3 linked regions of the Anolis sagrei genome follow. The protein of the gene in region 2 interacts with the protein of the main gene of each other region in a pairwise test. Links are inferred from orthologs where the notes say so. Each region holds a gene or a part of one and is shown on either strand. Other genes may lie near its edges.

The links.
Region 1: the proteins of LDLRAD1 (region 2) and BNIP3L interact in binary tests that used the Homo sapiens proteins (3 or more experiments, as listed by UniProt). The two-hybrid records come from large-scale screens. The link is inferred for Anolis sagrei from reciprocal best matches to the Homo sapiens genes LDLRAD1 and BNIP3L.
Region 3: the proteins of LDLRAD1 (region 2) and BNIP3 interact in binary tests that used the Homo sapiens proteins (3 or more experiments, as listed by UniProt). The two-hybrid records come from large-scale screens. The link is inferred for Anolis sagrei from reciprocal best matches to the Homo sapiens genes LDLRAD1 and BNIP3.

The regions. Positions count from the first base shown.
Region 1 is NC_090027.1:6,904,693-6,908,447, forward strand, and holds the start of BNIP3L (BCL2/adenovirus E1B 19 kDa protein-interacting protein 3-like), read left to right. Parts: upstream 1-1,405; 5' UTR 1,406-1,499; coding exon 1,500-1,593; intron 1,594-3,755.
Region 2 is NC_090024.1:172,568,661-172,572,415, forward strand, and holds the start of LDLRAD1 (low-density lipoprotein receptor class A domain-containing protein 1), read left to right. Parts: upstream 1-1,469; coding exon 1,470-1,638; intron 1,639-3,755.
Region 3 is NC_090023.1:191,285,221-191,288,975, forward strand, and holds the start of BNIP3 (BCL2/adenovirus E1B 19 kDa protein-interacting protein 3), read left to right. Parts: upstream 1-926; 5' UTR 927-1,158; coding exon 1,159-1,207; intron 1,208-3,755. UniProt on the Homo sapiens protein: Apoptosis-inducing protein that can overcome BCL2 suppression. May play a role in repartitioning calcium between the two major intracellular calcium stores in association with BCL2.

The sequences.
Region 1 (3,755 bases), on a different chromosome or scaffold from region 2:
AATATATTGTATTAGCATAGTACAACATCAGTATTAAATATTTAAAAAGGTAAAGGTAAAGGTAAAGGTAGTCCCCTGACATTAAGTCCAGTTATGTCTGACTCTGGGGTGTGGTGCTCATCTCCATTTCTAAGCCGAAGAGCCAGCGTTGTCCGTAGACACCTCCAAGGTCATGTGGCCGGCATGACTGCATGGAGCGCCGTATTAAATATTACTATATATATATTTAAATATTACTATATTAATAATGTAATATTATATTGTACTATACCATTATATTGTAATACTATGAGTAATATTACATGACATATAAATATATAATTATTAAGCTTGGGCAATCCATGCTTCTAAATGGTTCTAAAGTACTTACAAAACTAAAGTTCTGGTGATGAAATGACATCTCCTGGGAAGACAAGCGGACAAACGTCAGCGTGCTGGAAGAAGCAAAGACCACCAGCATTGAAGCGATGGTCCTCCGCCATCAACTCCGCTGGGCCGGCCATGTTGTCCGGATGCCCGACCACCGCCTCCCAAAGCAGTTGGTCTACTCCGAACTCAAGAATGGAAAATGGAATGTCGGCGGGCAGGAAAAGAGATTGAAAGACGGGCTCAAAGCCAACCTCAAAAACTCTGGCATAGACACTGAGAACTGGGAAGCCCTGGCCCTTGAGCGTTCCAGCTGGAGGACAGCTGTGACCAGCAGTGCTGCAGAATTCGAAAAGGCACGAGTGGAGGGTGAAAGAGAGAAACGTGCCAGGAGGAAGGCGCATCAAGCCAACCCCGACCAGGACCGCCTTCCACCTTGAAACCAACGCCCTCACTGTGGGAGATGTGGGTCAAGAAGAGGGCTCCACAGCCACCTACAAACCCACAAAAATAGTCATCAAGGAAGACCATCTTACTCGTCCAACGAGGGATCGCCTAAGTAAGTAAGTAAGGTGGTGAAAATTTCAGAACTCTAACAAAACTCTCAAAATTTCATAATAAATGGCAGTTCCTAATTGGTTCTGCCATTAAAATCACCAATAATGAAATAATAATTACATTTTGAGAGTTTTGTTAGAGTTCTGAAATTTTCACCACCAGAACTTTAGTTTTGTAAGTACTTTGGAACCATTTAGAACCATGGATTGCCCAAGCCTAAGAATTATATTGTTATTAGTATTATACTGCATTGCATTATAATATTAGGCTTCAGGAGAGCAGTCAGGGCGTGGGCTTATTTGGGTGCCTTGATCGCTTGCCTTCTCTGCAAGGAGCCGCCTACACTCTTGCGCCTGCGCACTGAAGGCTCAGTCCTCTGGCCACACCCCCTCTCCGCGGACGTGAGAAGCGTCAGGGAGGAAAAGCGGAAAAGGGGGGCGTGATCTCCCGGGCGCATGCGCGCTGGCTTAAAAAAGGCAGGCGCATGCGCAGCACACGCCCCGTGTTGTTTGGTGTTGTTGTCCCCCTCTCTCTCTCGCCAACCCAGACGGAAGGAGAGTCCCGCGCCGGCCGCCATGTCGTCCTCCCCTCCTCAGGAGTCGCCTCACAACAACAACAACCCCCCGCCGGGGGAAGGGGAAGCGACGCCAGCCGAGGCCGGGCTCAACAGTGAGTAGGAGCGGGTGGGCGAAGGGGAAAGTCAGGGCAAGCCCAGGGGAAGGCGAGGGGTCGCCTCCCCGCCTGAGGGAACCTTCCTCTCGGCCTGGATTGGCTGGGCCTGTCAAAGATAACCTGAATCGAACAGGAAGAATACCCCTTGGGTCTAGCAGCAGTCCTTTTGGGATGACTTACTTACTTAGGCGATCCCTCCTTGGACGAGTAAGATGGTCCTCCTTGATGACTATTTTTGTGGGTTTGTAGGTGGCTTTTTTTTTTTAATCGTGTCATCAGCAACCATTGTATTACAATTCTAACAGAGCAAAACAAACACAGAGATTAAAAAGAAAAAAAAAGAAAGAAAAAAAACCACACAGATTTTGCAAATTTGGTAGTTGACTAAATGTTCTTTGACCAGTATCTGGCCCCTTGGAGTGCCTCTGGTGTTGCCTCAAGAAGGTCCTCCATTGTGCATGTGGCAGGGCTCAGGTTGCATTGCAGCAGGTGGTCAGTGGTTTGCTCCTCTCCCCACTCGCATGTCGAGGATTCCGCTTTGTAGCCCCATTTCTGAAGGTTGGCTCTGCATCTTGTGGTGCCCGAGCGCAGTCTGTTCAGCGCCTTCCAAGTTGCCCAGTCTTCTGTGTGCCCAGGGGGGAGTCTCTCGTCTGGTATCACCCATGAATTGAAGTGCTGGGTTTGGGCCTGCCACTTTTGGACTCTCGCTTGCTGGGGTGTTCCAGCGAGTATCTCTATAGATCTAAGAAAACTGTGTCTTGATTTAAGTCGTTGACGTGCTGGCTGATACCCAAACAGGGGATGAGCTGGAGATGTCTCTGCCTTGGTCCTTTCACTATTGGCTGCTACTTCCCGGCGGATGTCAGGTGGTGCAGTACCAGCTAGGCAGTGTAATTTCTCCAGTGGTGTGGGTCGCAGACACCCTGTGATAATCGGCATGTCTCATTAAGAGCCACATCTACTGTTTTAGTGTGGTGAGATGTGTTCCACACTGGGCATGCATACTCAGCAGCAGAGTAGCATAGCGCAAGGGCAGATGTCTTCACTGTGTCTGGTTGTGATCCCCAGGTTGTGGCAGTCAGCTTTCGTATGATGTTGTTTCTAGCGCCCACTTTTTGTTTGATGTTCAGGCAGTGCTTCTTGTAGGTCAGAGCACGGTCCAAAGTGACTCTCAGGTATTTGGGTGCGCTGCAATGCTCCAGTGGGATTCCTTCCCAGGTGATCCTCAGAGCTTGACTGTTCTTAAGGTGAAAGGCGCATGTCTGTGTTTTAGATGGATTAGGGATCAGTTGGTTTTCCCTGTAATAGGCAGTAAGAGCTGTGGAGCCCTATTCTTGACCCGCATCTTCTCCCACAGTGAAGGCATTGGTTTCCAGGTGGTCGGGGTTGGCTTGACGCGCCTTCCTCCTGGCACGTTTCTCTCTTTCACCCTCCATCCGTGCCTCTTCAAATTCTGCAGCACTGCTGGTCACAGCTGACCTCCAGTTGGAGTGCTCAAGGGCCAGGGCTTCCCAGTTCTCAGTGCCTATGCCAGAGTTTTTAAGGTTGGCTTTGAGCCCATCTTTCAATCTCTTTTCCTGCCCTCCAACATTCCGTTTTCCGTTCTTGAGTTCGGAGTGGAGCAACTGCTTTGAGAGACGGTGGTCGGGCATCCAGACAACGTGGCCGGTCCAGCGGAGTTTATAGCAGAGGACCATCGCTTCAGTGCTGGTGGTCTTTCCTTCTTCCAGCACACTGATGTTTGTCCGCTTGTCTTCCCAAGAGATTTGCAGGATTTTCCAGAGGCAGCGCTGATGGAATCGTTCCAGGAGTTGCATGTGACGCCTGTAGACAGTCCACGTTTCGCAGGAATAGAGCGGGGTTGGGAGGACAATACAGTGAGGGCATTCGTTTCCAGGTGGAAGGCGGTCGGGGTTGGCTTGATGCGCCTTCCTCTTGGCACGTTTCTTTCTTTCTCCCTCCATTCGTGCCTCTTCAAATTCTGCAGCACTGCTGGTCACAGCTGACCTCCAGCTGGAGCGCTCAAGGGCCAGTGCTTCCCAGTTCTCAGTGTCTATGCCAGAGATTTTAAGGTTGGCTTTGAGCCCATCTTTCAATCTCTTTTCCTGTCCTCCAACATTCCGTTTTCCATTCTTGAGTTCGGAGTAGAGCAACTGCTT
Region 2 (3,755 bases):
GATGCATGCCATGGTCCTCAGGTTCTGTCTTTGGCACCTGCACTTAAAAACAGTTTTCAAGAGACAGATTTTCAAAAAGATCAATTCTAGACATTTTGTTGAGTAACTGCCAGAGCAGGAAATAGATGGTTAAATAGTTTAGTTGCACATTGACATTTAAATGATTAAAGATAGCTTTACTGGAGTCAACTCATGACAAATTGTAATGTTATCATCTGATGAGATTTGTAAAATATCAGCTGTTCTCTATGAACATGTCAATATTAAACTTTTTTTACCAAATTGATTTTACGTATTTTTTGATGTTGGAAAAAATTAAACTAAGGGCAACTTCAGATGACAGTATTACAGCACTATTATTCCACTTAACACCCCCCCCCCCCCCCAATGATTTTAAATACTCCTGGGATTTACAGTTTACATATAATTCTCAGCCAGAAAACTAAGTACACATCTCCATTTGGTGGTTAGGTACTACTGTGCTCTTGCTGATAATAATTCATAATTAAAGGTAAAGGTTTCACCTGACCTTAAGTCTAGTCGCGTCCAATTCTGGGGAGTGGTGCTCATCCCCATTTCTAAGCCAAAGAGCCGGTGTTGACAGTAGATGCCTCCAAAGTCATGTGGCCAGCATGACTGCATGGAGCACCATTATCTTCCCGCCGAAGCAGTACCTATTGATCTACTCATATTTGCATGTTTTCAAACTGCTAGTTCAACAGAAGCTGGGCCTAACAGTGGGAGCTCACCCCATTCCCCGGATTCGAACCGCCAACCTTGTGATTAGCAAGTTCAGCAGTTTAACTCACTGCACCACTGGGGCAGTGGTTAATTTGTACCAGTCCCTAAACTGCAAATCCCAGTTATAGCAGTTAAAATGGAATCATAGTGCTTTAATGATTTTATGCATAGATCCCCAGCCTTTATTCATCCAGATGTTGGGGGAGGGTCAATGCCCAGAAGCCTCAGCCTGCTTGGCCAGTTGTTAAGATTTCTGTGAGCTAAATTCCAGAACATCTAGACGACACCATTGGTACGGTGCGAAAGACCTAGATATATCTGAAACTCCCCCCCCCCCCAAACATTTATGTATTTATTTACGACATTTATATCTTGCCCTTCTCACCCCAAAGGAGATTCAGGGTGGCTTACAAGAGAGGCACAAATTGATGCCTTAAGTACATATAAAAATAAAACAACATATACATTAAAATCACATGATTAAAACATATAAATTAAAAACAATTACTTAAAATCACATTAGTAATGGGTTGATAAGTGTGGCAAAAGCAGAAAACTTTGGGCATAAATAATTGGTATGGTTGTATGGAATAACTTTGAGAATTAGTAACAACCAAAGTGGCTTTTTTTTCTATTGAGGTTTAGTCAATGGTTGGTAAAAGCTGGTTTCTGCTTGCAGATTTTGTAGTAAAATATTGCATTTTATTTGCTCTTTAATGCCTCTCTCCATGGCAGGTACCATACGTGACCAGCGAGATTGCTGCAAGGAGTCTTGTCAATGCGTCCCTTGCACTCGGAGATGCGTCTGTGCATCTGCCATTGGTTTTATTATACTTGCCGTTATCATTGCTGCCATTGCATTAATTGTCACAGTTGGTATCCCCCCACGTACAGCAGGTCAGTCACTATTATGTTGACTGTATTATTTCCCACTAGAGTCATTGATATGATGCCTTGAATGTGTCACAATTATTTCAATATGTTAAAGGTTGAGCTTGTTGAAGTAAGTAGTGTGTGGACACAATGAGAAGCTGAAGCCTAAATCCAAGGTTGCAGTAACAATATAGCTGAATATACCGTACTTCCTCTTAACTCCTTCCTGGAGCTCTGGGCATTTCATGAAAATCTGGTTTTCTGGATCTCCAAGACTTGTTTATCAGGGGAACTAGCAAAACCAGTTCCTGGAATTACAATGGTTAACCAGAGGGTAACTATAACATGATGCTCATCATTTTGCCATCATGTCCAGTTTTGCTCTCAGGAAAATTTCTGAAACTTGAGTAATTACAAGCCCTCTCCTGTTGCATACTTAAAGGGAAAGCTGTCTGTGGACTGATATTGTGGGTACCCACAGAGGACATAAGGGGTTCATGTTTGTCTTGACATGGCTATATTTTGATACCAAATCACCTGAAAATAGATCCCAGAAATGACCAGAAGTTCACTTCTGATTGTTAGTTTCAGATTTTCTGCTCACCTGTGGGATTGTTTTGGAAAGGTAGGGCTGGAAAGCTATGTACTGAGCAAGCACCAGTCCAAATAGCACTTGGGAGGACATTTCATATTTTTTGATGACTTTGGGAAGGTTTAGCGTTTCTTAACCTGGGGGTCGGGACCCCTGGGGGGTTTGCGAGGGAGGTATCAGAGCAGTCGCCAAAGACCATAAAAATGCAGTATTTTCTGATGGTCATAGGAGTTCTGTGTGGGAAGTTTGGCCCTATTGGTGGGGTTCAGAATGCTCTTTGATTGTAGATGAACTATACATCCCAGCAACTGCAACTCCCAAATGTCTATTTTCCCCAAACTCCAATAGTGTTCACATTTGTGCATGTTGATTATTCGTGCCAAATTTGGTCCATATCCATCATTGTTTGAGTCCACAGTGCTCTCTGGATGTTGGTGAACTACAACTCCAAAACTCAAGGTCAATGCCCACCAAACCCTTCCAGTATTTTCTGTTGGTCATGGGAGTTCTCTGTGCCAAGATTGGTTCAGTTCCATCATTAGTGGTGTTCAGAATGCTCTCTGATTGTATGTGAATTATAAATCCCAGCAACTACAACTCCCAAATGAGCAAATCAATCCCAAATCCCAACCCCACGAGTATTCAAATTTGGGCATATTGGATATTTGTGCCAAATTTCATCCTGTGAATGAAAATACGTCCTGCATATCAGATATTTACATTACAATTCACAACAGTAGCAAAACCGCAGTCATGAAGTAGCAATGAAAATAATTTTATGGTTTGGGGTCACCACAACATGAGGAACTGTATTAAGGGGCCGCAGCATTAGGAAGGTTGAGAACCACTGGTAAAAAGTAAAAAGTAAAAAAAAAGAAGTAAAAAGTAGAAAGTGAAGAGCATCCAGTGAACTCAAATGACTTTTTTAAAATGCATACACAGAAAACTACACAAATATCAAGAGGATAACACAATATTGAATTATTGTAAATTTTTTAGAGTCTATAAATACCCACTTCACATCAAAACTACAAAAACTTCTGTGCCAGGAATTCCAAAACCATTTACTAACAGAATTCATTGTAATTTGAATGAAAGCTGAAGGGTTTTAAAAATATCTATCTTGTAAGGAAATGGTAGAAAGAATAGAGATAGCATTCAAGTGCACAAGGATATATCTAAACTGAAGAGAAAAGGACTTTCTCTCTAAAAGATAAGGGTGGTTATTGTAAAAGTTTCCCCTGCCACATATATCCTTTCTATGCTCACAAAGCCAAATGCCTAAATCGCTCACAGAACATACTTCTATGATTGATAGATCAACTCTTGAAGTTATACAGGGTTAGTCAAAATGCATAGGCCAATAAGCCATTCAATTGAATGGCTTATTGGCCTATGCATTTTGACTAACCCTGTATTTCAAATTTAGACTGTCTGAACCACCGCATCAAACAATCTATCATAACTAAGATAGCTTACAATGGGCTTCTATATTTCATTTAATGGTTGTTAATAGTCTCCTTTGATATGCTGCCAGTTTGACTGATTT
Region 3 (3,755 bases), on a different chromosome or scaffold from region 2:
TATCTCTGGCATTGGGGAGGGGATGGCTGGTGACTGCTGGAACAGCACTTTGGTTTTCTCGATGTTCAGTGACAGGCCAAGCTTTGTGTATGCTTCTGCGAAGGTGTTTAGAGTGGCTTGTAGATCTTCTTCTGTATGTGCACAGATGACATTGTCATCAGCATACTGGAGTTCTATAACAGATGTTGTTGTAACTTTGGTTTTGGCTTTCAGTCTGCTGAGGTTAAACAGCTTGCCATCTGTCCGATAGATGATTTCCACCCTGGTGGGAAGCTTCCCATCAACAAGGTGAAGTATCATAGCGATGAAGATGGAGAGTAAAGTTGGGGCAATAACACATCCCACTTTAAATGGGTCACTTTGGGAGCCATTGCTGTTATATTGTACATATAATATTGCTAATATTATAGTGTAATACAATGAAATACTAATAATATTAATATAATATAATATAATATTACAGTATAAGGGTATAGTACAATATAGTAATGTATAATGATAATATTGTGCAATGCTAATAATATTGTATGTACATATAACTTGTAAGACGCTCTGAGTCCCCTAATATAATATAATCCAGTTTAAAGCAGAAAACTTGGGATCAGATCCTGGGATAGATATAGCACCTGTCTGCAAGGGCCCATTGTTCTCTTCTCTGACTGCAGTATGCTAATTTATGCATAATATGCTCCTCTCTAAACCGATTCTATTATATTTACTATCTAGTTTTGCTACCTGGTTCTTGGTTCGACTGGAAAGAAACCCTCCCTTTCAAAAGGCTAGATAACATTCGCACTGCGCATGCGCAGAGCTCCTCCTCCCTAACACTCTGATGACCGACGCGGTCATTCCTTCCCTAACCCACTTTCTGCCTTCGGGACGCAAGAGCGTTCCTGGTTCACCGAGGGGGGCGTGGCGAAGAATGGCCTGGGCAGCCAATCAGGAGCGTCCTTTTCTCCTGTGACGTCACGATCTTCAGAACACTGGGATCAGCAGCAGTAGCAACAATAACAGTACCAGAGGGGGACCATTTCCCTGCGAGTTGGCCAGCTGGGAGCTGCTGCTGCTACTATCTCTGGCCTCAGGGCAGAACTACAGCCGCCAAATCGGAAAGCTCTAGAAAGAGATCACAAATAGAAACGTCTCGTCCCAGAAGCCATGTCGTCTAGCGGGGCGCCTGGGTTGCACCAAGAGGAAAATCTGCAGGGTAAGAGGAAATCTACCTCCTTAATATACAGATGGATATCACTATATCTATATATGTGTGTCTGTGCATATGATATAATTATACACACACACACATCATATATATGTATCTGTGTGTATGATATAATAATAATAATAATAATAAACTGGGTGCAGTGCCTAAAGACCTTGGCCTGCACTTAAAAACAATCAGCGCTGACAAAATCACCATCTGCCAGCTGCAGAAGGCCACCTTATTGGGATCTGTGCCTTATTGGGATAGATGGCTCCTAACCATGACCTGAACTCAGTTCCTATATTTGATTACTATATTTTTAAAGCTAAGCTATAATTTATTTATTTACTATATTTGTATACCGCTCTTCTCAGCCCTCAGGGCGACTCAGAGCGGTTAACAAAGCAAATACAATACTTAAACATGATAAAAAGAGTTAAAAACAAGTTAAAAGAATAACATTATAACAATAAACATCATAACGATCGATCCTGTTATAATTGCTCTATTCCTATTCTACTACTTGTTCTATCCACCTTCTTGACCAACCTATCCCTTAACTTGTTTTGCATATTGATCCCCTCCCCCAAAAAATGAGATTAGAGGTATCTACTTTGGAGCCCCCGGTGGCGCAGTGGGTTAAAGCACTGAGCTGCTGAGCTTGTTGATCGAAAGGTCGCAAGTTCGATTCCGGGGAGCGGTGTGAGCTTCCGCTGTCAGCCCTAGCTTCTGCCAACCTAGCAGTTCGAAAACATGCAAATGTGAGTAGATCAATAGGTACTGCTCCGGCGGGAAGGTAACGGCGCTCCATGCAGTCATGCCAGCCACATGACCTTGGAGGTGTCTACGGACAACGCTGGCTCTTTGGCTTAGAAATGGAGATGAGCACCACATCCCAGAGTCAGACATGGCTGGACTTAATGTCAGGGGACTACCTTTACCTTTACGTAGTTGCTTATGATGTTTGCTTTTATTGTTTATGATGATATTGTTTTTATGCTGTTTTATATTTTATTGTTCTACTTTTTAACTTTACGTTGTCTGGGCATTGCCCCATGTAATCCGCCCTGAGTCCCTTCGGGGAGATGGAGGCGGGGTAGAAAAATAAAATAATAATAATAATAATTGACACAAAACCACAGTATGTCACAGCAAATGAGATCTCTATGCTGGATTTCTTCTTCTTCTTCTTCTTCTTCTTCTTCTTCTTCTTCTTCTTCTTCTTCGCCGGTTCAAATCTGGGGAGTGGAGTGAGCTCCCGCTGCTAGCCCCAGCTTCTGCCAACCTAGCAATTCGAAAACATGCAAATCTATATATAACAATAGGTACTGCTCTGGCAGGAAGGTAATGGTGTTCCATGCAGTCATGCTGGCCACAAGACCTTGGAGGTGTCTACAGACATTGCTGGCTCTTCAGCTTAAAAATATAGATGAGCACCAACCCCCAGAGTCACATACAATTGGACTTTATGTCAGGGGGAAACCTTTACATTTACCTAACATTACATTTTAACTCAACTAATATAACAAGACTAAAAAATGTTAAAATTAGTAATAATTTTAAAAACATTAAAAATTTCAGAGGAGATATATATATGTAAATATATATAAATATATATAAATATAAATATAATATAAATATATGTGTGTGTTTGTACAGTAATATTATGTATATTTGTAATGTATAGATCATAGATCATATACACACATAATATATTTATTTGTATGTGTGTGAATTATATATGTGTGTGTGTGTATATATATATATATATATATATCACTATTTCTATATATTTGTTGCACTGTCTGAAGATATCTACCTATATAGATATCACTATATTGATCTGTCTCCGTGGTTCCCAACCTTTGGGTCTCCAGGTGTTTTGGACTTCAGCTCCCAGAGTTCCTAACACCTGGAGATCCAAAGGTTGAGAACCATCTATCTAAATCACTATCTGTATCTCTCACTATTTGAAGATAGATGGATAGATAGACAGACACACAAATACACACACACATGTCACTGTCTGAAGAGTTTTACTGTTGGTCTTCAATTTGGAAGACAGGCAAGCAAATTGAAAGCAAACGATCTCCAATAACCCTTCACCATCATCTTCCTGTGTAGCCCTGAAGTCATCCAAGCTAAAGATAGAATTATTATTATTTCAATGATGGTTGGAATCATATGGTGTGAAGGGAAAGGCCAGGATGGCAAGGAAACTGAATGGCTCACATCTCACAATATTTGCTTTGCATGACCGGCGAGAAAATATTCCGGGCATTTGTAATAAATAGCTTGGCTGCATCCACACTACAGAGTTAATGCAACCTGATCTCTCTTTTAAGTGCTGTGTAATCGTGGCACTTGTCGTTTTACAAGGTCTTTATGCCTTGTAGTTTGCCGATGCCCCACCAAACTATAATTCCAAAGCATTGATGCTATAAAACCTGCCTTGAGCTATGGCAGCCCAAGTGTTGTCAAACTGCATCCATTCTACAATGTAGATGCACCTGAGTTTCTTTCCACCGGTGAGGTGTGCCATTCGTTCCCTCCT